Linked DNA regions of Macaca fascicularis. The protein of the gene in region 1 purifies or fractionates together with the protein of each later gene. This does not show direct contact. Links are inferred from orthologs where the notes say so. Each region holds a gene or a part of one and is shown in the gene's direction. Other genes may lie near its edges. The genes, in order: PTGES3, DYRK1B, SMYD2, FKBP4, EGLN1, PPP5C and AAR2.

Region 1 (4,558 bases):
CTCTGTCGCCCAGGCTGGAGTGCAGTGGCTGGATGGATCTCGGCTCACTGCAAGCTCCGCCTCCCGGGTTCCCGCCATTCTCCTGCCTCAGCCTCCCGAGTAGCTGGGACTACAGGCGCCCGCCACCTCGCCCGGCTAATTTTTTGTATTTTTAGTAGACGGGGTTTCACTGTGTTAGCCAGGATGGTCTCGATTTCCTGACCTCGTGATCCGCCCATCTCGGCCTCCCAAAGTGCTGGGATTACAGGCTTGAGCCACCGCGCCCGGCCCTAATTTTTGTATTTTTAGTAGAGATGGGGTTTCACCACGTTGGCCAGTCTGGTCTCAAACTCCTGACCTCGTGATCCGCCTGCCTCGGCCTCCCAAGGTGCTGGGATTACAGGCGTGAGCCACCGCGCCAGGCCAACTTCCCTTTTTTTTTTTTTTTTGATACAGGGTCTCACTCTGTCGCCCAGGTTAGAGTGCTCCCTGCAACGTCCACCTCCTGGGTTCGAGCTATCCTCCCGCCTCATACTCCCTAGTATTTGGCATTACAGGCGCGTGCCACCACGCCCTGCTAATTAGTAATTTCAGTAGAGATGGGGTTTCACCATGTTGGGCAGGTGAAACTCCTGACCTCAGGTGATCCGCCCACCTCAAGCTTCCCAAAGTACTGGGATTACAGGCGTGAGCTATGGGCGCCCGGTCCAAAATGGCATTTGAGCTAGGGTCCAGTTTTCGTAGCTCCCACTACCTGTCGTGCACAACATAGACACTAAATACCTTATTGCTTATTATGAAGCCCCGTTCTTCAGAAACGTTTTATAGCACTTTCGTTAAACCTCCTTCCTGTTCATAATGCAGTGCACTAGAGTATTTTTCCCATACTCCACCGTTAAGTGGCCTCTTGGTAAGCAGGACTGTTTTGGGTCTCTTGGTTACTATCCCCTAATACACCCTATTAGTGTGTTGCACGAAGCGACGGGGAACCCGTTCTCCCCCAAATGATGTGCGTGGAGACACCCAATGTCCTAGCCTCTCCATTCCCAGAAACCTAAGACTCTCCCACCAAATATCCTTCCTGTCTCATCTACAGCACTGAGGTCTCAAGGTAGGGGCAAAAGCCCGCCCCAAATGGCAAATGCTCCTCCTCCGCCAAGAACCTCCAATTTCCGCTGTCCCTAGACAGAGCCTCCAACCTTCAGAAAAATGGCGAGGTAGACCCAGGCCCTTGATTCTGAAGTGAGCCCTTTTCCACAGCACAGCCTTTCACAGGTTTTTGTGGTGGAATGATTCCTCAGTGAACTGATTTACTCCCTCAAGAGTAACCAACGCTCCATTTTAGTTCTATAGGATCCCGACTCCGTGTCCCTCCGCCTCGGCCTTGCCTCCCACTGCCAACGCAGCCGTTTCTCAGAGAAATCGCCCAAGGCGCATGGCCGGGCAGTTGGGACACCAACGGTTTTCTAACGCGAGAGGACAGCGAGGGAGGAGAGGCGGGAACGCGTAGCGACTAGCAGGGGGCGGGGTGGGGGTGGGGTGGCGGACGAAGGGCGGGGCCGACGCCAGGAAGGATCGCGAAGGAGCTGGGAAGCCCCGCCCTTTCCGTAGATATCTCTAGAAAGCCGCGCCGGACCCCGAAAACAAGGACTGCGCACGCGCGGCGGTAAGGCCCGGGCATTTTGCTGCGTCACCAGCCGCCGCCCGGCCTCACCACCCCTCGTTTGCACGCACGCACGTTCATTCTCCGTCCTCGCGCCCGTTTTCCTACACTTTCCTCTTCTCCCCGACCGGAGGAGCCGCTCTTTCCGCGCGGTGCATTCTGGGGACCGAGGTCGAGCCCGCCGCTGCCGCCGTCGCCTGAGGGAAGCGAGAAGAGGCCGCGACCGGGGAGAAAACGCGGAGTCGCCACTGGAGAGAAGTCGACTCCCTAGCAGCAGCCACCGCCAGAGAGGCCCGCCCACCCGTTCGCCCGTCCCCCTGCCCCGTTCACAATGTGAGTGCGACACCCCGCCGAGGGAAGGTCGCCCAGAGTGAGGCCGAGGCCGCGTTGGGGGCTCCCTGGAAGCGGCCCTTGCCCTCCCTCTGCTTTTGGCCCCATAGCCTTTCTCGCATCGGTGGTGGCAGTCGTTCCTGCCTGGGGGCGGGAGGTCCAGGATCCTTGTTCCGGTTACCGTTGGCGGGTGGAGGACATTTTTCCTCCAGATGTCTGCTTCCCCCACCCCTGAAACGTCCCTTGGCTTCCCTATACCGGAAATCCTACTTTTTCCCTCTTTGGCTGTCTGGGCTACTGGCTTCCTTAGGTAACTTCACCTTAGGCCTTAAGCTCCCCGGAGCTGCTCGCCATGCGGCGCCGTGAAGCGTGAACCCTCGTGGGTCGCCTCGGCTGCTTGGGCGCTCCGGTTCTGCTGCTTTGTGGTCCCCGGGCCAGGCCCTGAGTCGAGTGCACCTGTGGTGGGTGCTGCCAGGTGCCTGGCGGAGCTCCTGGGAGAGCCCCACGCGGGCCTAGCCGTGAGCGGCAGGTACTGCTAGGCAACTAGAGTGAAGCCATGCCCACGCCGCAACATACTTCTCTCCAGTGTCTGGGTTTCTTGAGTGTGGGTTCTTGAAGTCCGCCTCGTAACTCCAGTCTCTTGAAAACACGGGAGGTTGCCAAAACTCAGCCGCTTCCCTGGCAGCGAGGAGGAGTTACCGTTGAGCAGGTAGTTCTGCACGTGTCTGCTTTGGAAAGACACGGACATTTTCTGTGTTCCATGTTAAACCTGAGGTGAGGTTTCACTATCCTGTAACTGTGGGATGAAATATGTATGTAATAGGCGTGTAATTAACCTACTGTTGTCCTAAAGAGTTTAAATTTGTGTTGAGATTCTATGGTAGTCTTCATTTTATGATGATAAAGGAAACCTCGGCGATTTTAACCGAGTAAGAATTCTTGGCACTGCCACGTACAGTGGGAACTGCCGGTTTTACAGGGTTTTGTTTTAGTTTTTGGTTTTTTTTTGACGGGAGGTTATTTTTTAAGGTACTAACTGCGTCCTAAAAGGTATGGAGAGCAATTAAGGGGGAACCTTTTTTTAAAAAATATTCCATTCAGAAGAGAGATGAGAGGGAGTGACTTTGTGGAAAAGTAAGAAGGGTTTGCTTGATTCAAAGTCATGATACTGACGGCTAGAAATCTAAAGGAATGAGTGAGGGATACACTGAAGCGAAGTTTATCACTGGAAACAAGCTTCTAGAGCACAGCATGTTAGAATTTTTGAGGGAGCCCCCTCCCCGAGAGTGATACGTAATCGGGGTTTTTAAAAGTTTGAATCAGACTGGGCGCGGTGGCTCACACCTGTAATCCCAGCACTTTAAGAGGCCGAGGTGGGCGGATCACCTGAGGTCGGGAGTTCGAGACCAGCCTGACCAACATGGAGAAACCCCGTCGCTACAAAAATACAAAAAATTAGCCGGGCGTGGTGGCACATGCCTGTAATCCCAGCTACTCGGGAGGCTGAGGTAGGAGAATCGTTTGAAACAGGGAGGCAGAGGTTGCGGTGAGCCGAGATCTTGCCATTGCACTCCAGCCTGGACAACAAGAGTAAAACTCCGTCTCAAAAAAAAAAAGTATATAAAATAGCTTTTGTTTTTCCCTTTGAAATCTCTCATAAGTAATGTAGAAGGGACATCAGTCTTAACCTTTCATACTCTGAAAATCTGTAAGGGAAAATTTTTGTCAGATAAGGCATTAAGCAGCTTTTAATAATAGAGCCAAACAACATATCTTTTCGTGAAAAATGTTTAAAATGGGCTCGAAGTAGAAGCACTTTCTGGAGGGCACATGAGATATCTAAATAGGTAAGGAACGGCTAAGTTAGGAAAGTAAATTTAAAAACTTGGGTGAAAAGTGTAAGGCCAGGCGCGGTGGCTCACGCCTGTAATCCCAATACTTGGGAGGCTGAGGCAGGTGGATCACGAGGTCAGGAGTTAGAGACCAGCTTGGCCAATATGGTGAAACCCCGTTTCTACTAAAAATACAAAAACTAGCCGGGCGTGGTGGTGCACTCCTGTAGTCCCAGCTATTCGGGAGGCTGAGGCAGGAGAATCGCTTGAACCCAGGAGTCGAAGGTTTTAGTGAGCCGAGATTGCGCCACTGTACTCCAGCCTGGGCAATAGAGGGAGACTCCGTCTCAAAAAAAGTAAGTGTAGCAGTAGAGAGACAATTCCAAAAAGCAGCCTCTCTAGTTAAAAAAAAAAAAAAAAAATGGTACCTTCATGCCGGGCGCGGGGGCTCACGCCTGTAATCCCAGCACTTTGGGAGGCCAATGCGGGCGGATCACGAGGTCGTGAGATCAAGACCATCCTGGCTAACACGGTGAAACCCCGTCTTTACTAAAAATACAAAAAATTAGTCAGGCGTGGTCGCAGGCGCCTGTGGTCCCAGTTGCTGGAAGCCTGAGGCAGGAGAATGGCGTGAACCCGAGAGGTGGAGCTTGCAGGGAGGATCGCGCCTCTGCACTCCAGCCTGGGCCACACAGTGAGACTGTCTCAAAAAAAAAAAAAAAAAAAAAAGCTACCTTTAAAACGAGTGATGCGG
Region 2 (3,283 bases), on another chromosome or scaffold:
GCATGAGTCACTCACCAGTCCCCATCTCCTGCCTGGCTGGCTGGGCAGGTATACTATGCGAAGAAGAAGCGGCGGGCCCAGCAGGTGCCACCCCAGGATTCGAGCACCAAGAAGGAGAAGAAGGTCCTGAACCATGGTTATGATGACGACAACCATGACTACATCGTGCGCAGTGGCGAGCGCTGGCTGGAGCGCTATGAGATTGACTCGCTCATTGGCAAAGGCTCCTTTGGCCAGGTGTGGGACACCCCCCTCTCCCACCCTGATCCAAGGCCCCACTAACATTGACCACATACCCAGTGGTTCAGTGGCTTCAAATCCCATGCTGGGCCACTCACCCTAGCCCACTTAGTTTCCCTGTGCCTCAGTTGCCTTTTCTGTAAAACAGTTTAAATAACAAGACTCAACATAAGGTGGTATGTTATTTCACGTCCAGCGTTTCCACCAGTGCCTGACTAATGGTGTGCACTCAACTGCGAAGTATGCATAATGTTCTCGGTGGGCCTCCTTGCCTGGAGGGAGGAGAATGGTGCCTGGCTCTGCCCTGCCCCCACCCCTTTCTTCTTGACATGCCCTGCCCCAACAGGTGGTGAAAGCCTATGACCATCAGACCCAGGAGCTTGTGGCCATCAAGATCATCAAGAACAAAAAGGCCTTCCTGAACCAGGCCCAGATTGAGCTGCGGCTGCTGGAGCTGATGAACCAGCATGACACCGAGATGAAGTACTACATAGGTGAGGCCCGGGACTGGCAGGGCTGTGGGCACCTGGGATAGCGGGAGCTGGAGCCAGTAGGGATGGGTCACACCCCTGCCCCACCCTCAGGAGGAGGCTGACATCTTCAGAGCAGGGTTTGATCTGTGCTTCACTGACATCAGTGATTCTCCTGCTGCTTTTATGGTTTTTGTCCTATTTACTTGGTAGTGGTCAGAGGTTACTGAGTGCTCACCAACGGCCAGGCTGTCTTGGAAGCACTTTATGTAAGTTAACTCACCACAGCCCATAAGGGGATTATTACCAACATCTTGAAGAAACGAAACCCGGGCTTCCATCCTAGTTTCTTCTTCAATAAAACAAACAAAAACAAAAAAAATGGGCTGGGTGCGTGGCTCACGCCTGTAATCCCAGCACTTTGGGAGGCCGAGGTGGGTGGATCATGAGGTCAAGAGTTGGAGACTATCCTGGCCAACATGGTGAAACCCTGTCTCTACTAAAAATATGAAAAAATTAGCTTGATGTGGTGGCACGCGCCTGTAGTCCCAGCTACTCGGGAGGCTGAGGCAGGAGAATCGCTTGAACCTTAGAGGTGGAGGTTGCAATGAGCCAAGACCATGCCATTGCACTCCAGCCTGGTGACAGAGCGAGACTCTATCTTAAAAAACAAACAAACAAAAAACCAAACAATAATAACAACAAAAACGAAGAAAGGAAAAAAGAAACCCAGGGATTCAAGTGCTGTCACTTGCATGAGGGGGCAGTTTGTACTAATTGAGCTATAATTTGATGAGGCCGTGGACTCCAGAGGTGTTACTCTTAACATCTGTGCCAGTCTTTCTTCTCCCTTAAACTGATTCCTCTTAATGGACATAAACATCACAACATAATCATAAACAGCAAGTGGATTTTAAAATGGTTTCGTTTGAAAGGAAAATGTACATCCTTAAAGTAGATGGAAAACTAGTGTCCTTTGCCACAAAAATGAATACAAGGGAGATGAAAGCAGTGTTACGAAATTAAAGGAGGAAGTGTAGAATGTGTTAGAGCTAGTAGTAACTAATGAAACTTTCTCGTTTGTTTAATTGGAGGGTTTGACAGAGACTTGGAAAGAGCGTTAACTTCCTGTGTGAACCTAGTTGTTTGTTAGATAAAAAGATCTTGACTAGCAGATGGTACCCGTGGGCACAGCACATGTGGCTAGTGATCAAAGAGTGTTGTATGACCCCAGGCCACCACCTGCCCTCTCTGAGCCATTTTTTCTCTGGCCCATTTTCTCCCCTCCCTCGCAGTGCACCTGAAGCGGCACTTCATGTTCCGGAACCACCTGTGCCTGGTGTTCGAGCTGCTGTCCTACAACCTGTACGACCTCCTGCGCAACACCCACTTCCGCGGCGTCTCGCTGAACCTGACCCGGAAGCTGGCGCAGCAGCTCTGCACGGCACTGCTCTTTCTGGCCACGCCTGAGCTCAGCATCATTCACTGCGACCTCAAGCCCGAAAACATCTTGCTCTGCAACCCCAAGCGCAGCGCCATCAAGATCGTGGACTTCGGCAGTTCCTGCCAGCTTGGCCAGAGGGTACGGGGCAGCCCGGTCCTGGGAGCAGGGCTAGTGGTTTGGGTGAGGCAGGGCCAACAGGAGGCTTAGGGGCGGGGCTTGGCTGGGATGGGATTATTAGGAACTGCTGGAAGTGAAGGATAGTGCTTGGGGTGGGGGTGTGGATGTACTGCCCACTAGGATGGGGAGGGTGAAGCCTGAGGGGGCAGGGCTCGTTTTGAAGCTGCCAGATGTGAACAGGGTAAAGTTGGGTTGGGTTTGAGCCCTGGGTGCTGCTTTACTAAGTTTTTGTGTTTTGTGTTCTTAAAGCCGGGGAGGGAGGTGGAAGGCTTCAACTTTGCAACTCTGTGTGAGGTGCCACTAAAAATGACAATAGTATAGGGCTGGTGGAATGTCAGCCTCTGCCTGGTGACCCAGAAAGGCCCAGGATCGGGGTTGGGGGTGGAGATCAGGGTCTCTTTAGGCCAGCAGGCTCCCCAGATTGATAAACAAGATGGCACCAGTGGCTCCCAGAAAACTGGTGCTGATAATGGCAGGATTTGGAGCCTCAGTCCCCATTTTGTCAGCAAGAGGCTTGTCCTTAGTTGGGTCCTCTTAGCTTTGGGGGTGTCAGTGGGACCAGTAGAGGAGGCTGGGACCCTTGACGATGACCCTTTTCCCAGATCTACCAGTATATCCAGAGCCGCTTCTACCGCTCGCCTGAGGTGCTCCTGGGCACACCCTACGACCTGGCCATTGACATGTGGTCCCTGGGCTGCATCCTTGTGGAGATGCACACCGGAGAGCCCCTCTTCAGTGGCTCCAATGAGGTGTGCCCCCAGGAAGGGGTGTGCTGGAGGTGGAGGGGGTGGAGCCTGGCTGGCCTGATGACCCTGACTCCCGCCTGCTCACAGGTGGACCAGATGAACCGCATTGTGGAGGTGCTGGGCATCCCGCCGGCTGCCATGCTGGACCAGGCGCCCAAGGCTCGCAAGTACTTTGAACGGCTGCCTGGGGGTGGCTGGACCCTACG
Region 3 (4,492 bases), on another chromosome or scaffold:
GGTTCCTCCATGTTGGTCAGGCTGGTCTTGAACTCCCAACCTCGGGTGATCTGCCCGCCTCAGCCTCCCAAAGTGCTGGGATTACAGGCGTGAGCCACCACAGCTGGCCGATTTTGTCCATCTTTCTATCCCAGTGGCTGGTCATAGTCCATGTTTCTTAAAATGCATAAATAAAAATACTATCATAATGTCCTTTACTTGAAGAGCGGTTACAAGCTTATTTAGTTGGTCACTAGTAAGGACTTTTTTGTTTTCTTTTGAGACAAGGTCTTGCTCTGTCACCCAGGCTGGAGTATGATGGAGTCATCACAGCTCACTGCAGCCTTGACTTCCCAGGCTCAAGCAATCCTCCTACCTCAGCACCACTTGAGAGGTGGTTAATTTCCCATAGAGATGGGGTCTTTATGTTGCCCAAGCTGGTCTCCAACTCTCCAATTCCTGGGCTCAAGTGATCCTCCCACCTTGGCCTCCCACAGCGTTGGGATTACAGGGCTGAGTCACTACACCCAGCTGAGAAAGCTGTTTTACTGAAATGCCAAAAATTCCACTGATTTTACATCTCCAATCATATTCATCCTTTCCCCTTGCTAAACCAGTCCTGAACTTACAGAGGTAACTGTTTGAGGTTCTAGTTTGAAGTAGTATTTTCTGCTAAATGATCTCGTCACAATTTTAGTCTTTACTGCATGTACGTCAATTCCAGTCTTTACATAATCATGTGGAACACGGATTATATTTTCCTTTCTCATATGAAAAGTAATAGCGTGCATGTGTACAGGATTTACGTTTCAGGCTTTGTGGGCTTTAAATCCTCTGACTCCTAACCCAAGTGACTTTTCTAAGATCACAGTTGGTGGGTGGTCAAGCATATTAAAACCACTGCAAACTCTAGCGCAGTGTCCTGGACACTGGCCACAGCATCGCATTATCCCCCAACAGCCTAAATTCCTTGAAGGCAAGGTTATCTCTGGCTTCCTCTGCATCGTTCGCAGCATGCAGAGACTCGGTGAGCTGGGCTGGCCAGTGCATTTCCTCTTCCGTCAATGTAATTCTACTAGAGGAGCAGAGGGCAAACTACGTTCCCATTAAAGCCACAAGGTTTAAAAACCTCTAACCTTGGAAAAGTACACGTCAACCCTCTGCACAGCAAAATTCTCTACTGTGGTTTCCCCTCTGCCGCTTTCTCCTTGGCGTTCCCGATCACTGCCTTCAGGGGTCTTTACAAGGGCAAGTGAACGTAGGGTTTGGGGGCCGGCTTCGCCCCCTTCTATTTACCGGGTGCTGGTGGTCATCCTTCGGGCCAGGCTGACTGTCTAGGGGTGGCCCTGGGATACCTGCTCCGCGCAGGTGACCCCCCTCCCACCGAGGAGGGCGCGTCCCGCTTGCTCCGTGGAGACGCCGCGGAGGCGCACACGCCTCACGCCCTCCTCGCAGAAGCCACAGGGGCTGCGGCTCTTTGTCGCGGCCACACCGGAAACGGCCCGGAGCGCGCGCGGGGCGGCCGCCGAGGGTCCCGGCGCAGGGCGGGGCCGCCGGGCCCGTCCCCCTCCCCGCGGGGGCGCGCGAGGCCCGGGCGGGGCCGCCGTCCCTTCCGGGGAGCAGGGAGCCGCCGCCGTGTCCGCCGGGCGGCTCCCACCCCGCCCCCCGCAGCTCTGGGTGACGCGTCTCCAATAACAGCTCGCCAGGAGCCGCAGCTCGGGCACAGCCGGCGCCCGCGCCCCGCCGCCACCATGAGGGCCGAGGGCCTCGGCGGCCTGGAGCGCTTCTGCAGCCCGGGCAAGGGCCGGGGGCTGCGGGCTCTGCAGCCCTTCCAGGTGGGGGACTTGCTGTTCTCCTGCCCGGCCTATGCCTACGTGCTCACGGTCAACGAGCGGGGCAACCACTGCGAGTACTGCTTCGCCAGGTAGGGCGGCGGCGGCGGGCGGGAGCCGGGGGCGCCGAGCGGGAGGCTTGGATCGCGGCGCCAGGAAGTGCGTGCGGCTCGCGGGGTCCTAGCGCCGGCCTCTAGGGCGGGGTGGGAGGCGGGGAGGGGAGGAGGCCCCGCGCTGAAGCCTCACGCCGGGCACCACGTGCGAGAGGAAACAGGACCGGTGCCCACTGCACGCCCTGCGCTGCACGTTTTCAGTTGCTCACGCAGGATGCGCAAACTCGGGAGTGCAGGTTCCTGCCTTCAAATGTGAGCTCCGAGCCAGGCTTGTTCCAAGCCTGGGCACTCACTGCCCTCCCGGTGCATTGGCAGTGGAGCCCCAAATTTGGGCAGCCACGGGCTGTCACCTTTAACTTATACTTCCTGCGGTGTATGCTGCTCCCCACAGGCCAGCCCTGCTTCAAATTGGCTGTTTCTTCCAAGGAATTTAATGACTTAGTATATGTCTTGTAAAGTACGTTTACGTGTTAAAGTACGCTTACATGGGTGTTTGGAGGGACGCCAGTGAGCACTGACCACACGCCCTGGATTCTGAGGCGCTGCAACGATGAGTTGCAGTGTCCAGTTTTGGTTTGGAAATAGGAAGACATGGTCGCAGTAAGGGATTGGGCAAGATGTGTGGTTGCTAACGGTATTTAATTGCAAGATACCATATGTATATATGTGCCTGTGTTTGTATATATGATGCATATACATTGGCACACACCAACACATATAATTATATCCTCAACTCTTATGAGAGTTTCAGAGCTGAAAGGCACATCAGAAATCACCAATTCGATCCTGTTTTTCACTTAATAGATGAGAAAACTAAAGCCCAGAGAGAAAGTGGGGTTACCTTTATCCATTCACACCAGTAGTGAAGGGAGTGAAATCTGGCCTCATTCACTTCTGCCTGTTTCTCACTGGTTAGGTGCTCAGTAAATTGACTAAGGCAGGAGGCATGGCTTTGGGGTTAAGTTTATATCAGGCCTTCCAGTACTCTGAGTAGAGACCGTGTTTTGCTTTCTTTGAACCTCAGTTTCTTCATCTTTGAAATGGAGATTCCTGGGCTGGATTAAGCTGACCTGCAGTCCTGCAGGGACCTTTTGAGTACAGGTCTCAGGTCCAGCATACTCAATCTCTCAGACCTGTGTGCCTTATTCTACAATAAGACGTAGCAAAAGAAGGGACAAAGGCTAAATATTGTAGTAATCTTGCCCAGACTCCCTGCCAGAACTGTCTTCCGCTTGGGGGGACCTGGAAAGGAACTAGACACGGAATCATGCCGTGGGCAGCTTAAGGGCTGTATGTGATGTGGCTCTTTGAATTGGTGAGCCAAGAGCTAAAGGGTCATGGCACCACTTTGCAACGTTTGAGTGAAGTGAGCATTGGGTTTTCCCAAAGTTAAAAAGGCTGCTGTGACTGGTCCCTTGATCTTCTGAGCCTTGCTGTGGCTCGGAGTCTGCAGCAGCGTGGGTGTCTGCAGTGGCAGGAGCAAAGCAGGTCAGGCAGCACCGAAGGAGCCTCCATCAGGGATCCTGGCAATTCCTGGAAGCCATCACCTAAGACCATGGATGCCAGGCACATAGTAGGTGCTTACTTTATATGGGTAGTTGCCGTTCCTGGCCCCCAGTGAATGAAAGATCAAATCCCTCTGGGTTTAGAAGGGATTAGAAGAACTGAGAGATGCTTCTGTTTAGCCGTAAGTCTCCTAATTGTTTCTACTACACATACTCCCAACCTTAGAACATTAGTGGATAGTGAGATGCAACTTCACAAAGCATTCAGCCTGGATTATTCTGCCATATGTGACAGTTTGCTGCCTTTTTTGTTACTGCATTTTTCTGATTGACATTTATTAGTGTTATTCACTGTTGCCTTGGGTCCCTCACCAGGGCTGCAACTTGCAATGGCGTGTTATTACGACTTGCAAACCCCTTCTCTGTTTGATTTCCCTGAACTTCTGTCAATACCCATAGTTTATTTCCTTTCTGTTTCCCCAAAGAATTTTTTGAAATCAATTAAAATAATACAGAAGAAATGACAGCCATGATACTTACGCAATTAGAAATATCTGTGTACCCTACTTTATGATTTCTATGAAATCTGAATCGTTTAGTATTAGTGGTTAGATCATCTGATAGATTCAGCATCAGTTTCTCTGTCAACAATTCGTATATGACCTAGGACAAATCAGTCTGTCCAGATGTATGAGAGGAACGTGTGTTTTCCTCCATAGGGCCTCAAAGTATTGGAGTAGAATTCTGCAAATGTTCATACATACAGGTCAAAATCTGCTGCCTGCCTCAGCCCCACACACCCAAAAGAAAACTACCCCTTATCCTTTCTTTTGCCGGAAGTTTAACGTAAACAGTATTGCTTAAGATAAATGAACGACGCAAGAATTTCCATGTCATATTAATTGTATCAGGATCTAACTTTTTTTTGAAGGAAAGAAAAGTGATTTCTTTAGGTAGGAATAAGTATATTCTACAAATTGAGAAATAATGGAAAATGTCTTAAGTCTCAACAGAATGGGATTCTTATGGTCAGAGCAATTCAGACAAAGGTTTGTTTGGGGAG
Region 4 (4,643 bases), about 60 Mb from region 1:
CGAGCACCCACCATCCTCGTCTCCCGGAGTTTGGGTGGCCCCTGGCACTGTTACTTCTGCAGAAAAGTAATGGATTGAACCCCTACAGAGGCAGCGCCCCCCGCCCCGAATCCTCTGAAGTTGTCTCCAGTCACCTAAAGAGATGTCGGTAGGGCTCAATTTGTACTGTAAATCGCTGAGCGAAGGGCTGTTTCTTTTGCATCCCTTTCAAGTTCCCTCGGCAGGGACTACAATAAATCATCACATTACGATGCTGAAAGTTCATCTCTAAAAAGCTTTCAATTTAGTTTGATGAGACAATGGCGTACAACGGCACAGTGCCGGGCACATAACGGGAAGTCCAAAAATATAATTATTATTGGAATAAAAATTCACGCTGGGCGCAGTGGCTCACGCCTGTAATCCGAGCACTTTGGAAGGCCGAGTCGGGCGGATCATTTGAGACCAGAAGTTCGAGACCAGCCTGGGCAACATGGCGAAACTAAAATACAAAAATTAGTGGGTGCGGTGGTGGACGCCTGTCGTCCCAGCTACAGAGAGCCAAGATCGCACCACTGCACTGCAACCTGGGAGACAGAGCGAGACCCTGTCTCAAAAAAAAAAAAAAAAAAAAAAAAGAAAGAAAAAAAGTTAGCCAAGACTTGGAAAAGTTAATTTAAAAAAGGAAAATTCATGCAGCCAGTAACTATTGGACACCACTCACCAGGCACTATGCTAAACTGGGGTTAGGTGCTGACCAAAACCAGGCCCCTCTCTAGATGGCTTTGTAGGTCCCACGACCATGGCTTAGGTGACACGGGCAGTTGCGCGCTCCACAGGCTGTCGAAAACCACTCGGGAAACAAACATTGAGAGGAAAAGACTCCTTCTGGAAAACCGAGTGACTTTTCTCGTGAGGGGCACCCACGTGTGTAAGCATTCGCAGAAACGGCAGCTGTATTACCGCCGGGAAGGGTCCCCTGAGTGCGCGCCCCGTCTGAGTTCCGAGCTGGGCGGGCCATGCCTCGCCAACCCCGCTGCTCGCAGCATCTGCAGGCGCCGGGGTAGGCACCGCTGCGTGACCCGGGCTTCCCGGCTCTGGGGAAATCGAGGTCGCTTTCCCCGGCTCTCTGCAGCGGGGCAGCGTTGTCCGCTCACTCCCCCCTCCCCGGACGCCCTCACCCTCTTTCCCCCAGGTAGGGAAGGGTCTACGCGGGTCATAGCGGAGAGACCACGCCGCCCGTGGTGACGGCCCGTCCCGGGGAGGGGGCGCCGCCACTGCCATCCCGCCGCCCGCGCTCCCCACACATCGCCGCAGGCGCAGCGGACTGGTGGAGTGATGTCGGGAGATCGATCGAGAAGAATCTGGAAGAATCCGGTTAGACAGGGAAGCGGACGGGGATGGGAGGGAGGGAGGAAGGGCCAGGGGAGGCCGCTGGGGAGACTCCCCAGAGTCCGAGGGTCCCCGGAGAAGGGGGAGGGGGCAGGCAGCCAGAAGGAGGCAAGAACCAGAAAAAAAAAGAAAAAAGATTCTGAAGCGCCCGCAGCACTCAGCCCGAACCGGCTCAGTCCCGCCGTCTCTAGAAAGTTCTGCACCCCGCCCCCTCTGTCCGTGCTCCCGCTCCTCCCAGCCCCTCCCTCGCGGCGGGGCGGGACCAATCGCTCCCGGAGCGGCTCCTGACCCACCTACCCCCGCTCCCGCGCCGCGTGCAGAGGTGCTCGAGCCTCCTCGCGGTCCGCAGTCAGTGCCGCCGCGCCCGGCCTCCCGCACGCGCCGCAGGTAGCGCCCCCGCCAGCGGCCCAGGGTGCGCTCGCGCCGGTGCCAGCTCCCGGAGAAACGGCGCGCCGCGCGGAGATGACAGCCGAGGAGATGAAGGCGGCCGAGAGCGGGGCGCAGTCGGCGCCGCTGCCCATTGAGGGAGTGGACATCAGCCCCAAACAGGACGAAGGCGTGCTGAAGGTGAGGGGCGGCGGGGCCTGCGGGGGCGGCCGAACCTGGGGCCCTGCGGGCCGCCCTTCCGCCGAGCCCGGAGCCCGCGGCCGGGCACGGGTCGAGGCGGCCGCCTCTGCAGCCTCGCGGCCGTCCTGCCGGGGGCCGGTGGCATCGCCGTCCGGTACCGGGCTGCGTCGTTTGAGGCACCGAGGCCGACCATGCGCTCAGCAGAGGGGCGGCCTAGGTGCGCGGGCCGAGGCCCCAGGCTCCCCAGTCCCCAGCGCCCGGGCCGGGGCAGGGGGTCGGGATTGCAGTGCCCACCCCGGCGCGCGCGGGGCGGCGGAGAGGGGCGGGGCGACCGCCGCGGGCACGCGAGCCGCAGCCCGGGGCCAGGCCGGGCCTCCCGCGCCACGCCGCCCCCGACCCCCGCGGCCCCAGCGGAGCTGCCAGCCGCGGGGGCCGCCTCGTTAGTCGCGGTGCCAGGGCTCGCCCACCCGGGCGGTGGAACACGGGCCAGGACGGGGAGCGACTCCCCACAGTGCTTTCCTGGCCCGGCGGCCTTTGTGCGACGCAGGCGCGACAGGGTTCCGGCGCCCTCCCGGGGTCCCCTGGCGACGCCGGGACCCAGCGTGGTCCCCACTCGCCGCGCGCGGCGCCCCCTCCCTCGGCCCCGGGGAGGCCGGGCGCGGGGCATGCCGGGAGCTGTAGTCCCCTCCCCCCCGCCGCCTCCCCGAGCCGGGACTGCGGGGTGTGGGGCGGAGAGGAGGCGCTCTGCTGTGGAGCCTGCCGCCGAGTGACCGCTCGACTACAAATAGCCTGGGGAGCTGTGGGGAGGGCATCTTGACCTGGGCCAGGACAACCTGCCATGGGTCGGAGCAGGTTCCGGGGAGAGTCCGGAGAGGAATTCCCAGCCCGCGTCTTATGCCTTCTCCCCATCCGCTGCTCCTCCTCATCCTGGCTTCCCACCGCTGAGCTCCGCGTGTGTGGCACCCGCCTCAGGGGGCCTTTAGCTGGTCCAGAAGTGCATCTGTCTTTGCACCAGATTATTGGGGACCTCGAGCGTCTGCTCCAGCGGCTCTCCTGTGGCATGTGGCTTCCCCTTCTCGCTCCAGCGTCCTGCTGTTTTCTATGAGATTGTTATTCCGGGAAGGGTCATTTCCCCTTTGATCCGCCATTCCTTCCCTTTTACCTTTCTACTCCTCCAAGACCCTGTCCATTCTCCATGGAAGCTTTCCCTTAGAGGGTAACCACACACCTACCAGGTGGCGCTAAAGGAACCTGTGCGTTTCTGGGAAATAACTCCAGCCCTGGTCTTAAACAGCCTACCAGTGAGGAATACTCCGCTCCCAAGTCAGAGTTTAAGGTCCCATGGAGAGCCTCTGGGTTCACTTATAACCTGGTTTCTTCCTTACCTGTTTTGAACTGTTTCTGTTCTCTTCACTCATACTCCTCTCGTTCTCCTGTCTCCAAACCAGACCTTAATCTGATGACCACTGGCATGAAGGAAGAAGGAGGAAGTGTGGCATAAATACTTCCCCCTTTGTCGATGATAATAATAATCTATTATTCAACCCTTTACTGGTCTAATCTTCCAACAAACTGTAGGAGATAGGGATTATCATCACTGCTTTACAAATAAGGTGTGGAGAATTTTTAAAACTTACCCATACAGCGGAAACTTGAACTCAAATCTCTCAGCCTTTTGTCTCCTTTTTCAAACCAAGTCTTGCTGTACCTGAAGAAAGACAGGGAGGTTAGTTGACTCCTAAGTCAAGTTGCTAGTAGCTGAATCTGGAGGGACAAGTAGGCAGAGGAGGATGAACCCAGAGAAGCCCCTTCATGTTCCCTCTGGAGGCTTGCAGGCAGTGTTGGTGCCCCTTTTGGCCCCAAACCCTGGGTTACTCACTTTCTCCCCCTTCCTCCCAGGTCATCAAGAGAGAGGGCACAGGTACAGAGATGCCCATGATTGGGGACCGAGTCTTTGTCCACTATACTGGCTGGCTATTAGATGGCACAAAGTTTGACTCCAGTCTGGATCGCAAGGACAAATTCTCCTTTGACCTGGGAAAAGGTAGGCGTGGTCAGTGGGCTGGTAGGATAGGTTCGAGGTGGACACAAGCTGTCACAAGCTGAAACCATTTTCTCAGGACCAAGCTCAGGGAGGAATGGTTTATCACAGTCTGTTAACTCTTTCGGTCACTCTTTTTTTTTCTACCGTTCTGTAACTATACTGATCTTTGTCTCCCCTTCTCCTCATCACCTCCCAACACCTTACTCCCCCTTCAAAGGTGGACTGTCTTGCATCTTAAACTCTTTTGTTCAGGGTCAGGTGATCTTTTACAGTTCTTAGACCTGGTAGCACTTAATGCAACCAGGTATCTCACCTTCTGGTCCCATTTCTAAAGGATGTTCAGCTTCCCCATGAGTGTGGTGCATTAACTCTTCAGAAGCACTGTTTGAGCCCAGAATCAGAACCCTGCTAAAGTGGTCCTGTTTGCCTCTGTACCTGCAGGGGAGGTCATCAAGGCTTGGGACATTGCCATAGCAACCATGAAGGTGGGGGAGGTGTGCCACATCACCTGCAAACCAGAATATGCCTACGGTTCAGCAGGCAGTCCTCCAAAGATTCCCCCCAGTGCCACGCTTGTATTTGAGGTGAGTGTCCGGCCACTGACATCAGGCTAAGAGCCAGGCCTTATCTCAGCCCAATGCCTGGCTGCCCTCCAGCCCTT
Region 5 (4,015 bases), on another chromosome or scaffold:
AGACCAGCCTGGCCAACATGGTGAATCCCTGTATCTACTAAAAATACAAAAAGTAGCCGGGCATGGCAGCATGCATCTGTAATCCCAGCTATTCAGGAAGCTGAGGCAGGAGAATTGCTTGAACCTGGGAGGCGGAGGCATTGAGCTGAGATCATGCCACTGCACTCCAGCCTGGGCGACAGAACAAGACTCCGTAAAAAAAAACAAACAAAAACAAGAATAGTTCATAACCTTGAACGTCTTTGTCTGTTTTCTTCATAATTCCTGAGAACTTTTTAAAAATTCCTTTACCAATTTCAGTTGATTATCATGTACACCTAGAATATGGAAGTTTTTTTGTGCTTTTTATTTCGGGCCTCTTTTCTGCCTTTATGCTTAACATCCAGCAATCTTCTGAACCGTATCTTGTTATAATCTGAGCAAATAATTTTCTTTCTGGTTCAAAGAGGGTAAACTTACATAAGCTAATTTGTTTAGTCTTTTTAAAAAAAAAAATCACTGACATTAAATGAATTAATGTTTGGAGTTGAGTTGACCTAAATGATCCCTATTACAACATAGTAAGACCCCATCTCTACAAAAAAAATACAAAAATTAACCAGCCTGGTGACACGTGCTTGTAGTCCTAGCTACTTAGGAGGCTGAGGTGGAAGAATCACCTGAGCCCAGGAGGTTGAGGCCACAGTGAGCCATGATTGCACCACTGCACTCCAACCTCAACAACAGAGCCAGACCCTGTCTCAAAAAAAAAAACAAAACAACATTGGTACCATTCAGAGACAATGTCAGGTGGGGTGTTTGACTGGGTTGGTTCACCTGTCAGATGGTAAAGTAGGTGTTCTTAGGTGAGCTCAGGGAAGAGAGAAGTCTCCCATGGAGCAGGACAAAAACTCACTTGATCTTGATTATCTATATTTATATGACTGTGAAAGTAGGACCATGAAAATTTTCTGATCTTTGGAGTTACCACTGTGAAGCAGAATTCACCAGTCCTTGAATTGTTCATCAGCCTATCTTGTGTTCCCCATAAATATTAATGTAGAATAGCCTTATCTTTCTTACCTACAAAATATTATTTTTATTAGAAGAATCTTAAGTGTGAATCAGTAGCCAAAAATCAGAGATCTGATTTATTAGCTGTTCTCTCTTTTTATTTATATGTGGACTTTAATAATCATCATCATTATTATCATTACAGGCCATGGTTGCTTGTTATCCGGGCAATGGAACGGGTTATGTACGTCATGTTGATAATCCAAATGGAGATGGAAGATGTGTGACATGTATATATTATCTTAATAAAGACTGGGATGCCAAGGTATGCGACTTAATTGAGCATTTATTTTTTTCTTACAAAAGCATTACGTTCATACTTCTGATAGGTGAGACTGTCACAGACACAGTTAAAAATTTTCCTCTTAAGTTTGTTTCAGTCTCAGGTATTAGGAGTGGATTTTTGTAAAATGAAACAAATACTAGTCTTAAGTTATACAACATAATACCTGTAGTTAACAATGTAGTGTTGTGCACTTAAACATTTAAGAGAGGAGATTCCATGTTCAGTGTTCTAAACACACACACACGCGCGCGCACACACACACACGAGGTTAAGGGAAGGGAAACAAACTTTGAGAGGTGATGGATATGTTTATTATCTTGGTTGTGGTGTGTCACGGGGGTGTGCATATACATCCAAACTCATCAAATCGTAAATGTTAAAGATAGGCATTTTTGTATATCAGTTATAACTCAATAAAACCATATAAAAAAGTACTGATCAATCTTTAAAAGTGGATTCATTTGTTTTCAGATATTAGAGCATTTATCTAAAATCTAACTTTTTTAGAAAAGTGACCTTTATTAAAATATTTTCCTTTTAATAGTTTTTAGACAAACACTTCTGAGAACAGTTGTTTTATAATGGCTTTGGGGGAGATTATAGATAATTGTTAAGGAAATAAGGATTATTTGCTATGTTATTCTTTGCATTTTTGTAAAAATATTGTATGGCATTGAGTTGTTTAATTGAATATTGGAGGCAGGATTCAGTCTTTCCCTGATTATTAAAAAACTGGAATTTTATCAGTACTGACAAGCCCTGTAAAATCAATTAGAATGTACAGTATATTTAATCTCTCTTGTTTTAAATATATATTTTCTTAATATTAGCGTGAGTCTCATTAAATTTAAATGATTTTTTAAAATATGTCATGTATTACTACAGTAGAGACTGTACAGACTAATTTTTTGGTTGATTTTTTAAAATCTTAAGTAAAATATTCAAATAGAAAAGTGGCTTGTGTATAGTTCAGTGGATTTTCACAAAGTGAACATACTTGTGTAGCCAGGTGTAAAGGTCAAATAACCTTTAAAACACCTCTTTCTCTGCATCCCCCAAAACACACACATGGAAACTGCCTGAGTCTTAAATGTACAAAAACCTAATCCTACCCTAAAAAGTGTTTTAAGTTTAGAATATGCTCACAGTGCTCCAGTAATCTTTTTAAAACACACACTGATTTGAAGAGTTTTCTCTGCCCTAGTCCAGGTTCAGAATGGAACTAAACTTTCTGCTAAGTATATATTGAGGCATTATGTCAACAAGCATGGTTTTTCTGTTACAGCTTTCAAAGTTTGAAGTAGAGAAATAAATTTTGTAGTTGAATTTGAGCTCAAGGCGCAAAACAGATTGGTGTAACTTTAGTTAAAATTTAAAAATTGACTTTTTTTCAGATTTTGTGAATAGCTAGAAAGCTAGAACTGTGTTTCATCAACTTCTAACTTCTAGATTTTGTTAGGCTTTTTCTAGGCTGATCTTACAATTTCTATAAGACTTAGGGTCATTAATATGTAGGTTTTAAATTAGGACATAGGCAGAAAAACATCCCTAGTGTTTTTATATGTGGAATAGAAGTTTTCCGTTGCAAGATTGCACTGAATATGTAGTGTGCCAGATGTTCTGGATGCTAGGGATATAGCAGAAATGGAATTAGCCCTGGCAGAGCTTAGGATCTATTGGAGGATACAGATCAGAAAGATTGACAGTTACAGATAGTTATGCAAAGTGTCAAGACAGATTGCTATGAGAGCACACAGGAGGGCCACCTAATTCAGAGGAAGAAGAGTGGATGTGTCAAGTAGCCATTTCTCTTAAAACATTTTCAGCAGGTCACCTGTGGTACTCCCAGTGACTTGAGTCAAAGGGAAGGGAGCAGGAAAAAAGGAAAGAAAACATGTTCTCAGTTTGGAGGTTCTTCAGATATTTGCATAGTAGCCTGGGGAATCACTCGGAACAACACTGGAACCTGAGGAGGTTGGCAGGGGTATCAAAGTAGCTAGAATTTAACTTACCTGATGGTGAGCCTGATAAAGCTTTAACTATAGATTCTAGGCTTAGGCTCAAAGTCCATGCTGTCCTGACCAGGTGTTAGAGTTTCTTTCAATTTTAAGAGTCTACCTGCTTCGGAGTGTAGTTATTCAAGAGTAAGGAACTACTTGGTTGGTTGAGTTTTGCCTAGCCCCAGATCTTAAACACCACAAGGACAAAGTCTGTCTGCATTATTCCCTACTCTGCACCCAGAGTCCACCACAGTTCCCACTGTGATTTGATGCCTAGTTGGTGTTTAGGTAAATAATAATCCTTTATGGATAGAATCAAGTTTCACAAGCAGGTGATGCATCAAGCCCAATCTTGAAAGGGAGAGCCACAGGTTCTAATGGACTACATGCTGATGGTGATGGTGATGATGACAATAATGATGGTCATAATAAATGATGACACTTTCTACTGATATACTGAATTATTTAAATGAGAGGTATCTGTGACTATCCTGTTGTTTATTGAAATTTAAAGTATGGTAAACTCTTTATTTGACATAATCTATTTCTAATAATAATTTTTTCAAAATTTCTTGAAGTCTATTTCAAGAGTAGGTTAAACATATCATTAGCATAAATAAATGTTTAGTAGTTTAAAAAACTTTCAAGCATCATTTTAAGACTTTTAAATTCAGAT
Region 6 (4,614 bases), on another chromosome or scaffold:
GGATTCTGCTGGACTCAAACCCAAAATTCAAATCCATTATGGCAGCCTCCTTTTCCTCCAGCCCCCAAACAAACAATACGAACAAAGAACACAAAAAAGAAACATTTACTAAGCCACCAAGATGGGCTCTGGCACCTACAGAGGCAGTAGAGTGGCAATGAAGGACACAGGAAGTAGATAGGATTCCTGATCCTGGCTCTGTCACCTTCTTATGTTGTTGTGACCTTGGTCAAACACCTCTGCAAGTCTGTGTCTTTATCTGTAAAATGGGGATGATACTAATATCTGCCCTTTAGGGTGATTGTTGGTTGTGCTGGGGGCAGTGGGAGAGATGGGGATGGACTAACAAGAGGTTTGGGAGTGGAATAGATAGGTTTGGGAGTGTGCTTCCAGGAGGGTAACCAGAGCCTTACAGGACTTAGTGCTACCTGAGGGCTTAGAAAGGACAGACTGGAAGGGTGTACGGCAGATGGGGGTTGGGGAAGGGGTGGAATCTGGAGATTAGACTATTCAGCCTGAGGTTAGACTATTCAGGGTCTCCTAATCAGGAGTTTGGGTTTTCTCCTAAGGGTGCTGGGGCCATGGAAGGCTGGGAGTGAGGGTGTGCCATGGTTTTATTATGTCTTAGAAAGATCCCTCGGCCAGGTGCAGTGGCTCACTCTTGTAATCCCAGCACTTTGAGAGGCCGAGGTGGGCAGATAGCTTGAAGTCGGCAGTGAGGCCAGCCTGGCCAACGTGGTGAAACCCCGTTTCTATTAAAATACAAAAATTAACCGGGCGTGGTGGCAGGCACCTGTAATCCCAGCTACTCGGGAGGCTGAGGCAGGAGAATCGCTTGAACCCCGGGAGGCAGAGGTTGCAGTGCGCCTAGATTGCGCCACTGCACTCCAGCCTGGTCGACAGAGGGAGACTCCCTCTCAAAACAAAACAAAATAAAACAAAACCAAACCTCTAGCTGCCATGTGAAGGGTAAATGAGGGAGGCAGAGTGCATGCAATCAACGCTGTGATCTCAGACAAGAGAATCTGTAAAAAGGCAAACAGGAGAGTTTATTTGAAGATTCAGGATTTGGGAAGCTGAACACAGGAAGAAAGGGGATGGTGCAACACACTTCTGAGCCTTGCTCAGGACTTGAAATCCAGAGTGCCTTCATTTAAAAACTCAGAAACACCCTCAGGGTTGGACCTTTTTTGGCTTGAGAAGCCACCCATTTTTCAGAGATGGGTAACTGAGGCCCTAGAGAGGAAGGGAAGATTTGTTCAAGGTCACACAGGTAGCTGACAATAGGGCTCGACGCCCGGGTCCGGCTCCGCGTAGGGCATGGCGCTGCCTTGCAAAGCAGCCACACCCGCCAGCGACATTCACAACCCACCCCCCAACCCTAGAGGACAGCAGGGAAATCCCACTTTAAGAACCGAGAAACTTTTTACAGCCTTGGAACACGGTAACTTTGGGAGCAGAGGCCACACCAGCTCTGTTTCCCCGCGCGCCCCTTCTCTCATTCCCTATTGGTTCTCTCTACCAGGGGTACCGTCCGGGGACCCTCTGGTCACCTTGTCCTCCGCGCGCTCTATGGCGAGAGGGACCTGCGCAGGCGCGTGAAGGGCCCCTTCAGGGCCCGCGCTTTACGACACTTGTGCGGCAGCGGCGGCGGCCACCCGGCGCTCCTTCGCGACGGTTCGGCCGGGTGCCGCTGGCGGCCGTTGCCAGGGTAGGGGTCGCTTTGCGGCATGGCGATGGCGGAGGGCGAGCGGACTGAGTGTGCTGAGCCCCCCCGGGACGAGCACCCGGCTGATGGCGCTCTGAAGCGGGCAGAGGAGCTCAAGACTCAGGCCAATGACTACTTCAAAGGTGCGCCCGCCTAGCAGGGAGGGTGGACAGCGGCTCAGGCCGAGGGTGCCGGGCCCGCGCGGAACCATGGCAACGCGGAGCTGCAGTCTGGGCGCGGGGCAGGCACTACCAAGTGACTGGGCGTGGGGAGGCCCAGGATGGCGCTACCAAGGGGCGACATAGGGGGCTTCGGAGAGTGATACATAGGAGTGGCGTGCGGAGCGGGTGCTACTCAGTGGAGAGACTGAGGAGGGCGTCACCAATTGTGGGGCGAGAGGGGGACTGGAATGAGGGCGCTACCAAACGTGAGGCCTGTAGAGGGCGCTACCAGGCAGTGACATGTGGTGGGGGAGTGAGTGATGGCGCTACCAAGTGGGGAGTCCTGGGGTGGGTGCCGCCAACTGGGGAGTAGAGGAGGGACAGTCCCAATAGAGGCGGCAATCGTGGGGGTGGGGAATGGATCATTAGATGGGCGGAACAAGGAAGTAGGAGATTTGGGCTGACCGAGGAAAAGGAATGTGATGGTGGGGGCCTTGGGAGTAGGGGTGGGGATCCCCAAGAATAGTGTCACTTAGAATATTGAGAAAGAGTCAAGTGTGGGGCACCCATTCATTCATTAATTCAACAAATATTTATTGAGTACCTGTTATGTGCCAAGGACTGTGCTTGACTCTAGGGATATAGCAGTGAAGGAGAGAGATGTGGTCCTGTCCTTAGCTTGTAATTTTGCAGGTGAACCAGACGTGAAAAAAAAAAAAACATGTAAATAAGTAAAATACTTAAATTGTGATGAGTGCTTTGAAAGCAAACCAGCAGCGTGATGAAGTAGAGAATAAGGGTTGGAGGCTACTTTAGATAGGGTAGTGGGGGAAGGCCTTACTGAGCAGGAAGCATTTAAGCTGAAACTCACAGAGGAAGAACTGGAGAGGAGTGTTCCAGGGAGTTAAGGCAGCCTGTGCAAAGGCCCTGGGGTGGGGAATGAAAGGACACTGGCATGGCTGGGGCTTTTGCTAGTTAGCGGGAGACCAATAGCAAGATGAGATTAGGACAGAGGGCAGATCATGCAGGGTCTCCCCGAGTCATTGCAAAGAGCAGTTTGGAATTTTTTTTTTTTTTTGAGACGGAGTTTCACTCGTGTTGCCCAGGCCAGAGTGCAATGGCGCAATCTCAGCTCACTGCAACGTCCGCCTCCCTGGTTCAAGTGATTCTCCTGCGTCAGCCTCCCGAGTGGCTGGGATTATAGATGCGCATGCACACCACCATGCCCACCTAATTTTTGTATTTTTAGTGGAGACGGGGTTTCGCTGTGTTGGCCAGGCTGGTCTCGAAACCCTGACCACAGGTGATCCGCCCACCTCAGCCTCTCAAAGTGGTGGGATTACAGGCGTGAGCCACCACTCCTGGCCCTACAGGAGGACACACTGAGTAAGTAAATGGCACAGTCTGGACTGGAGAAGAATTTGGGTGTGATCAAACTATGGTTGGGAATGGATGAGATAATCTAGTAAGAGGGTCTAGAGAGGGGACTTAGGACAGATCCCGAGTGGAAGAGGGGGAGGCTAAGGAGGACCGCTTAGTGAGGTGGAAAGGAAGCCAGGAAAGGTGTCGGGAAGGCGGAGAGAAGAGAGCGCTTATAGAACAAGGAGCTGGTGCCCTGAGTCCGATGCTGCCAAGGCGAGCACTGGCCATTGGCTTTGGCTCCGTGGATGCTGATGGTGATGTTGACAGGAGCAGTTGTTGGGGAATGACGGGGCTGGTGCAGCCAAGAGGGCGCTGAAGAGTGAATGGGAAGGGAGGGAGTGGAGAGAGCAAATGTTAAGTGTTAGGAGTATTGGTTCTGAAGAAGAGTGGAGAAATGGGGGAGGGTGGTAAGAAGTGAACGTGCGCAGGAGTTCAAGAGCAGCCTGGCCAACATGGTGAAACGTCGTCTCTACTAAAAAATTAGTCGGGTGTGGTGGCACACACCTGTAGTCCCAGCTACTGGGGAGGCTGAGGCAGGAGAATCGCTTGAACCTGGGAGGCAGAGGCTGCAGTGAACCAAGATCACGTCACTGCATTCTAGACTGGGCAACAGACAGAAAAAAAAAAAAAAAAACAACATGCAGTGTCAGGGGAAGATGGATTTTTTGTAAGGATGGAAGAGAGTAGAGTCCAGTAGAGATGGAGAATTGATTCTGCATGTGAGAGGGGAGACTTGCAGCAGCAAAACCCTGGAGAAGGTGGAGGTGGAAAGGATCTGGACCCCTGGAAAAGAGTTGGCCTCCAGCAGGAGCAGAAGCAAAGTATGGAGAAGTTTGATCTGGTGGGAGCCATGAGAGGGAGGTAGGACCAGTGAGAGATGAGGCCAGAGGTAGAACCTTGGAAGTCAGATTGGGGAATGTGGGTGTCATCCTGAGGGTGGTCGATGCCATGGGATGTTTCAAGAGTGGGGTGCCGTGGTTCAGTTACCATTCAGAAAAGATCCCTGGCTGCCATGCAGAGACTGGACTCCAGGGTAAGACAGGAAGGAGGCTAGATTAGTGGACAGGTGAGGGGTGGTGATCGCCAACCAGGCTGGAGGGACAGAAATAGATTCAAGAAGTGTTTCAGAGAGGAAGTGAGAGTGGCTGCCTGGAGAGAGGGTAGACGGTACTCCAGGCAGAAAAAAAAAAAAAACAGGTGGCAAAGGCCCAAAGGTGAGCGGAACCTGGCATGGAGGCCGTGAGTAGGAGGCTGGAGGAGGTTACGATGAAGCTGCGGGGAGCAGATTGCGCAGGGCTGTGGGAAGGAGGCAGGGCTTTCTGG
Region 7 (4,015 bases), on another chromosome or scaffold:
CGCTCTGTCGCCCAGGCTGGAGTACAGTCACACAATCATGTCTTACTGCCACCTCAACCTCTTGGGCCCAAGCGATCCTCCTGCCTTGGCTTCCCAAAGTGCTGGGATTACTGTGCCTAGACAGGACTTTTTATATCATTGGGTCAGCTGATGATATAACGTATATTTTAACAGGTATATCTTCATGCATTAGTATTTTCATGTAATAAGTAACTTTTGAAAGTCTGGCTTAAAAATGAATAGAAATCCTGTCTTTCTACCTCTTAAACATTTCAATTCTTCAAAATATATCTTGTGAAAAAGTCTGTTACAGGAATAACTTTGTTGGGTTGTTTTTTTTTTTTTTTTTTTTTTTTTTTGAGACAGGGCCTCACTTGGTGACATGGGCTGGAGTGCAGTGGCATGATCACAGCTCACTGCAGCTTCAACCTCCTGGGCTCAAGTGATCTCCCACCTCAGCCTCCTAAGTAGCTGGGACCACAGGTGTGTGCCACCACGCCCAGCTAATTATTTTTGGTAGAGATAGGGTCTCCCTGTGTTGCCCAAGCTTGTCTCAAACTCCTGAACTCAAGCAATCCTCCTCCATTGACCTCTCAAAGGGCTAGGACTATCCCTGCCACCACACCTGTCCAGGGATAATTTTGAATCTACATCACAGCTCTTTGAAATTATTTTTGATGTCATAATTAAATTTTAGACAAGGTCAGAAATGCACAAATTTAAATAAATGTCCTAAATGCAAAGAATAGGCTAATATTTAGTTTCACAAACCAAGTAAAGCCAGCTGAAGAAGCAAATCATTAACGTATATTACACAAAGAAAATTTGACTGTATTTGAAAATACTGGTCAGAGATCCAAAATATCTCAACCAGGTAGCTATTCACATACATCAAACTTAGTTCCATATGCTTAGGACAGGGAGCTAGTTTTTCCAGGTCTCTGGAAGTGGCAGAGATCAAACACTATGCATTTAAAGAGGTATTTGGTGTTGAGTGCATCTCTTCTTTTTATGGCCCACATGGACATATACCTCATTAAATTTCCAGCCACCTTTGAAGTAGAGAGAATGCCTGTGATGAGTGGCAGTAATTCTACAGTAACTTCCAGAGACCCCGTTACTTGCCCAGGGACAGTGGTGTCTGGATCATCAGGTCTCTTTGTTTGAGATGGGCATCTGATAGAAATTGGGAACATAATATTTTTTGAGTGCTACTTTGTGCCAGGTGTTATTCTAAATGCTTTACGTGTACTGTATCCATTCATTTAATCTTTGCTGCAACCCTCAAATAAGGAAATCCAGGTCTTAATAGATTGAGTAACTTGCCCAAGGTCACACAGCTGCTAAGTGGCAGAGCTAAGATTTGAATCTAGGCAGTTTGGCTCCAGAGCCCATGCTCTTAGCCACCAAGCTGCTCATAGAGATTAAATCACGGAGCCCTGTGATTAAGCAAACAAAAAATAATCTGGCTGGCATGCTGACCCTGGAATAAGTACTCAGGAATTTTTCTCTGGTGGGAGGTCCTAGAACTGTTCCCACCCAATAGAGAATCTGTTTTATCTTTCCATTGCCCACATTGTGAAGCATTGAAGTGCGGCCTTGGGCAAGCCCTTGACCTCATCTGTAAAATGAGGCAAATACCACCTTCCTGATCGCCTGTGGAGTTGGGCTGAGGGTTACATGGTGTAGTGCAGTATTTCTGTGACCCTGGAGCAGACCATCCGCATCAGAATCCCCTGGGGAGCTTGTCAGAGCTACAGATATGAAGGCCCCATCATCTCTCCTCAACCAGAACCTCTGAGGGGGAAGCTTGGGTAGCTTTACTTTTAACAGACTCTCAGTGATTCTGATGGGCAGCCAGGTTTGAGAGCCACTTGGCATAATATCCATGAACACATTTTGTAAACTTAAAATGCCAGGCAAATACTGGGAATACTTCTTCTCTTGCAGTCTGACTTTACAGAAATCCAAAGCCACAGGTTGGTTTCCCATGGCTTGAATTCATAGCGGTTCAGCAAACATTTGTTGAGTACCTGTTAGGTGCAAAATCCCATGCCAGGCTCTGCAGGAGTGACAAGGATAAAAAGTAATCTGTTGCTGAGGTCCAGTGGAATTGATGGCCTTGTGAACAGTGATGGAGAGTGTCATCTGGTTCTCCTCTCCCTCAGAATCACTTCTCCTCTCTGCACCTTTCAGGTGAACTCCAGTTTGCTTTTGTGTGCTTCCTGCTGGGGAATGTGTATGAGGCATTTGAGCATTGGAAGCGGCTCCTGAACCTCCTGTGCCGGTCAGAAGCAGCCATGGTGAAGCACCACACTCTCTACATCAACCTCATCTCCATCCTGTACCACCAGCTTGGTGAGATCCCCGCTGACTTCTTTGTAGACATTGTCTCCCAAGACAACTTCCTCACCAGCACCTTACAGGTGAGCAGTCTTTCTGACTGAGCTGATGCAGATGTGGGTCAGAATTGAGGCAACAGTATGTGTTTTGTTTCTTGCTATTCTTCCATGACCCAAAAATGTTTATATTTCAGTTTCCTAGTCTTGGGATATTTCCTGGTTTTCTCTCTCTTACTCAATTGTGTTTCTATGCCAGAAATTTTCTCTCTGTACCACGCTCACCCTATACCTCATCCCCAGTGTGCCTAAGTACAGTGGGGTACTTGGATTTGAATTCCTTCCACTGCTTTGGTTTACTCAGCTTAAAACAGCTTTTCTTTCTCCCTGTAGCCATGAATTGCTACAACCCAGTAAAGCAAAGTTTTGAAGTTTTTTATTCCCAGTGAAACATCTGCAGCTCCTTAGATCTCATTTAAGCATTAAAATAACTTTGATTTCCTGTTCAAACAAAATGTGCCAGTTTCTGCAGAGATTCTATGACAGAAAAAGTGAAATTTGCTTTTAACTTGGCAATTAAATTTTCATTATGAGTGGTAATTAGGAAAGAAGCTTCAAACAACTTACAATCTTCATCCTATGCTATTTCCTCCCTTTGCAAACAGATTAGTTTCCTTTATGTACTTGGGACAGCCTCTGTCACTCACATTGTGTAACTTTCTCAAGAATAGAAGAGGCAGAAGCTGCCAACTATCAGTTTCCATACTTTCCCTCCCATGAGCTTCTTTCTTCTCTCTGTGTGTAGTACCCCTATGAGGCCTGCTCCATATAAGGCAGCTTTTCACCAACCTTCCAATCCCACTCAGGGTAACAGAAGGGATGAATATTCATTAAATGTTGGGGCTGGGTGTGGTGGTTCATGGTTGTAATCCCAACACTTTGGGAGGTGAAGGCAGGAGGATCACTTGAGCCCAGGAATTAAAGACCAGCTTGGGCAATATAGTGAGACCCCATCTCTACAAAAATTTTAAAAATGGCTAGGTATGGTCATGCATACCTGTAGTCCTAGCTACTTGGGAGGCTGAGACAGGAGGATCACTTAGCCCAGGAGTTTGAGGCTATAGTGAGCAATGATCGTGATCGTGCCACTGCACTCCAGCCTGGGCAACAGAGTGAGACCCTGTTCACTCATTGAATCCCTTTGGAACCCTGTAAGATGGAGGTATTATTCCCACTTTACAAATGAGAACACTGAGAACGGTTAAATCATTTACTTGAAGTCATACAGCTGGCAGATGGAGGTCAGGATTTGTACCCAGGCCTGAGTCTTGGTTTCCTGCCTGTGCTTATGCCCTTGTGTAGTGAATACAGTGAATCCCCTAGAAAGGATTATTGATTGATATCAGTGAAGACTTCATCGAGGTCCTGTTTCTCAGAGGTACAGAACGCTTTTCTAAAGCCAACCTACTGTTGGACGAGTCCCTGTGAGCAAGCATCTGAGTTAAAGCTGGCAGTTGAAGGACCTGTGTAAACCATGGCAATGAGTCAGTCAAGCGCATGGTTTGAGCCTGGTCTGTTCCACTCAGAAGAGCTATAAAACTGTCCTTTTACTGGTTGTTCATGTAACAGAGAAATTAAACCCGTTTGTCCTTCCTCTGTGGGGAAAATTTTCCCCA

The links.
Region 2: the proteins of PTGES3 (region 1) and DYRK1B purify together in Homo sapiens (affinity purification with mass spectrometry; 3 studies listed by BioGRID and IntAct, with this or other methods). This does not show direct contact. The link is inferred for Macaca fascicularis from reciprocal best matches to the Homo sapiens genes PTGES3 and DYRK1B.
Region 3: the proteins of PTGES3 (region 1) and SMYD2 purify together in Homo sapiens (affinity purification with mass spectrometry; 3 studies listed by BioGRID and IntAct, with this or other methods). This does not show direct contact. The link is inferred for Macaca fascicularis from reciprocal best matches to the Homo sapiens genes PTGES3 and SMYD2.
Region 4: the proteins of PTGES3 (region 1) and FKBP4 purify together in Homo sapiens (affinity purification with mass spectrometry; 3 studies listed by BioGRID and IntAct, with this or other methods). This does not show direct contact. The link is inferred for Macaca fascicularis from reciprocal best matches to the Homo sapiens genes PTGES3 and FKBP4.
Region 5: the proteins of PTGES3 (region 1) and EGLN1 purify together in Homo sapiens (affinity purification with mass spectrometry; 5 studies listed by BioGRID and IntAct, with this or other methods). This does not show direct contact. The link is inferred for Macaca fascicularis from reciprocal best matches to the Homo sapiens genes PTGES3 and EGLN1.
Region 6: the proteins of PTGES3 (region 1) and PPP5C purify together in Homo sapiens (affinity purification with mass spectrometry; 5 studies listed by BioGRID and IntAct, with this or other methods). This does not show direct contact. The link is inferred for Macaca fascicularis from reciprocal best matches to the Homo sapiens genes PTGES3 and PPP5C.
Region 7: the proteins of PTGES3 (region 1) and AAR2 purify together in Homo sapiens (affinity purification with mass spectrometry; 3 studies listed by BioGRID and IntAct, with this or other methods). This does not show direct contact. The link is inferred for Macaca fascicularis from reciprocal best matches to the Homo sapiens genes PTGES3 and AAR2.

What each region holds. Positions count from the first base shown.
Region 1 is NC_088385.1:63,494,845-63,499,402, reverse strand, and holds the start of PTGES3 (prostaglandin E synthase 3), read left to right. Parts: upstream 1-1,678; 5' UTR 1,679-1,973; coding exon of another isoform or gene 1,974-1,975; intron 1,976-2,226; exon of another isoform or gene 2,227-2,282; intron 2,283-2,558; 5' UTR 2,559-2,732; coding exon 2,733-2,746; intron 2,747-4,558. UniProt on the Homo sapiens protein: Cytosolic prostaglandin synthase that catalyzes the oxidoreduction of prostaglandin endoperoxide H2 (PGH2) to prostaglandin E2 (PGE2).
Region 2 is NC_088393.1:46,950,139-46,953,421, reverse strand, and holds part of DYRK1B (dual specificity tyrosine-phosphorylation-regulated kinase 1B), read left to right. Parts: intron 1-48; coding exon 49-237; intron 238-586; coding exon 587-734; intron 735-2,005; coding exon 2,006-2,292; intron 2,293-2,933; coding exon 2,934-3,080; intron 3,081-3,164; coding exon 3,165-3,283.
Region 3 is NC_088375.1:72,065,169-72,069,660, forward strand, and holds the start of SMYD2 (N-lysine methyltransferase SMYD2), read left to right. Parts: upstream 1-1,408; 5' UTR 1,409-1,730; coding exon 1,731-1,903; intron 1,904-4,492. UniProt on the Homo sapiens protein: Protein-lysine N-methyltransferase that methylates both histones and non-histone proteins, including p53/TP53 and RB1. Specifically trimethylates histone H3 'Lys-4' (H3K4me3) in vivo. The activity requires interaction with HSP90alpha.
Region 4 is NC_088385.1:3,664,927-3,669,569, forward strand, and holds the start of FKBP4 (peptidyl-prolyl cis-trans isomerase FKBP4), read left to right. Parts: upstream 1-1,689; 5' UTR 1,690-1,833; coding exon 1,834-1,938; intron 1,939-3,837; coding exon 3,838-3,982; intron 3,983-4,423; coding exon 4,424-4,566; intron 4,567-4,643. UniProt on the Homo sapiens protein: Immunophilin protein with PPIase and co-chaperone activities. Component of steroid receptors heterocomplexes through interaction with heat-shock protein 90 (HSP90).
Region 5 is NC_088375.1:17,716,195-17,720,209, forward strand, and holds part of EGLN1 (egl nine homolog 1), read left to right. Parts: intron 1-1,198; coding exon 1,199-1,318; intron 1,319-4,015. UniProt on the Homo sapiens protein: Cellular oxygen sensor that catalyzes, under normoxic conditions, the post-translational formation of 4-hydroxyproline in hypoxia-inducible factor (HIF) alpha proteins.
Region 6 is NC_088393.1:54,378,672-54,383,285, forward strand, and holds the start of PPP5C (serine/threonine-protein phosphatase 5), read left to right. Parts: upstream 1-1,720; 5' UTR 1,721-1,730; coding exon 1,731-1,851; intron 1,852-4,614. UniProt on the Homo sapiens protein: Serine/threonine-protein phosphatase that dephosphorylates a myriad of proteins involved in different signaling pathways including the kinases CSNK1E, ASK1/MAP3K5, PRKDC and RAF1, the nuclear receptors NR3C1, PPARG, ESR1 and ESR2, SMAD proteins and TAU/MAPT.
Region 7 is NC_088384.1:92,328,421-92,332,435, forward strand, and holds part of AAR2 (protein AAR2 homolog), read left to right. Parts: intron 1-2,196; coding exon 2,197-2,426; intron 2,427-4,015. UniProt on the Homo sapiens protein: Component of the U5 snRNP complex that is required for spliceosome assembly and for pre-mRNA splicing.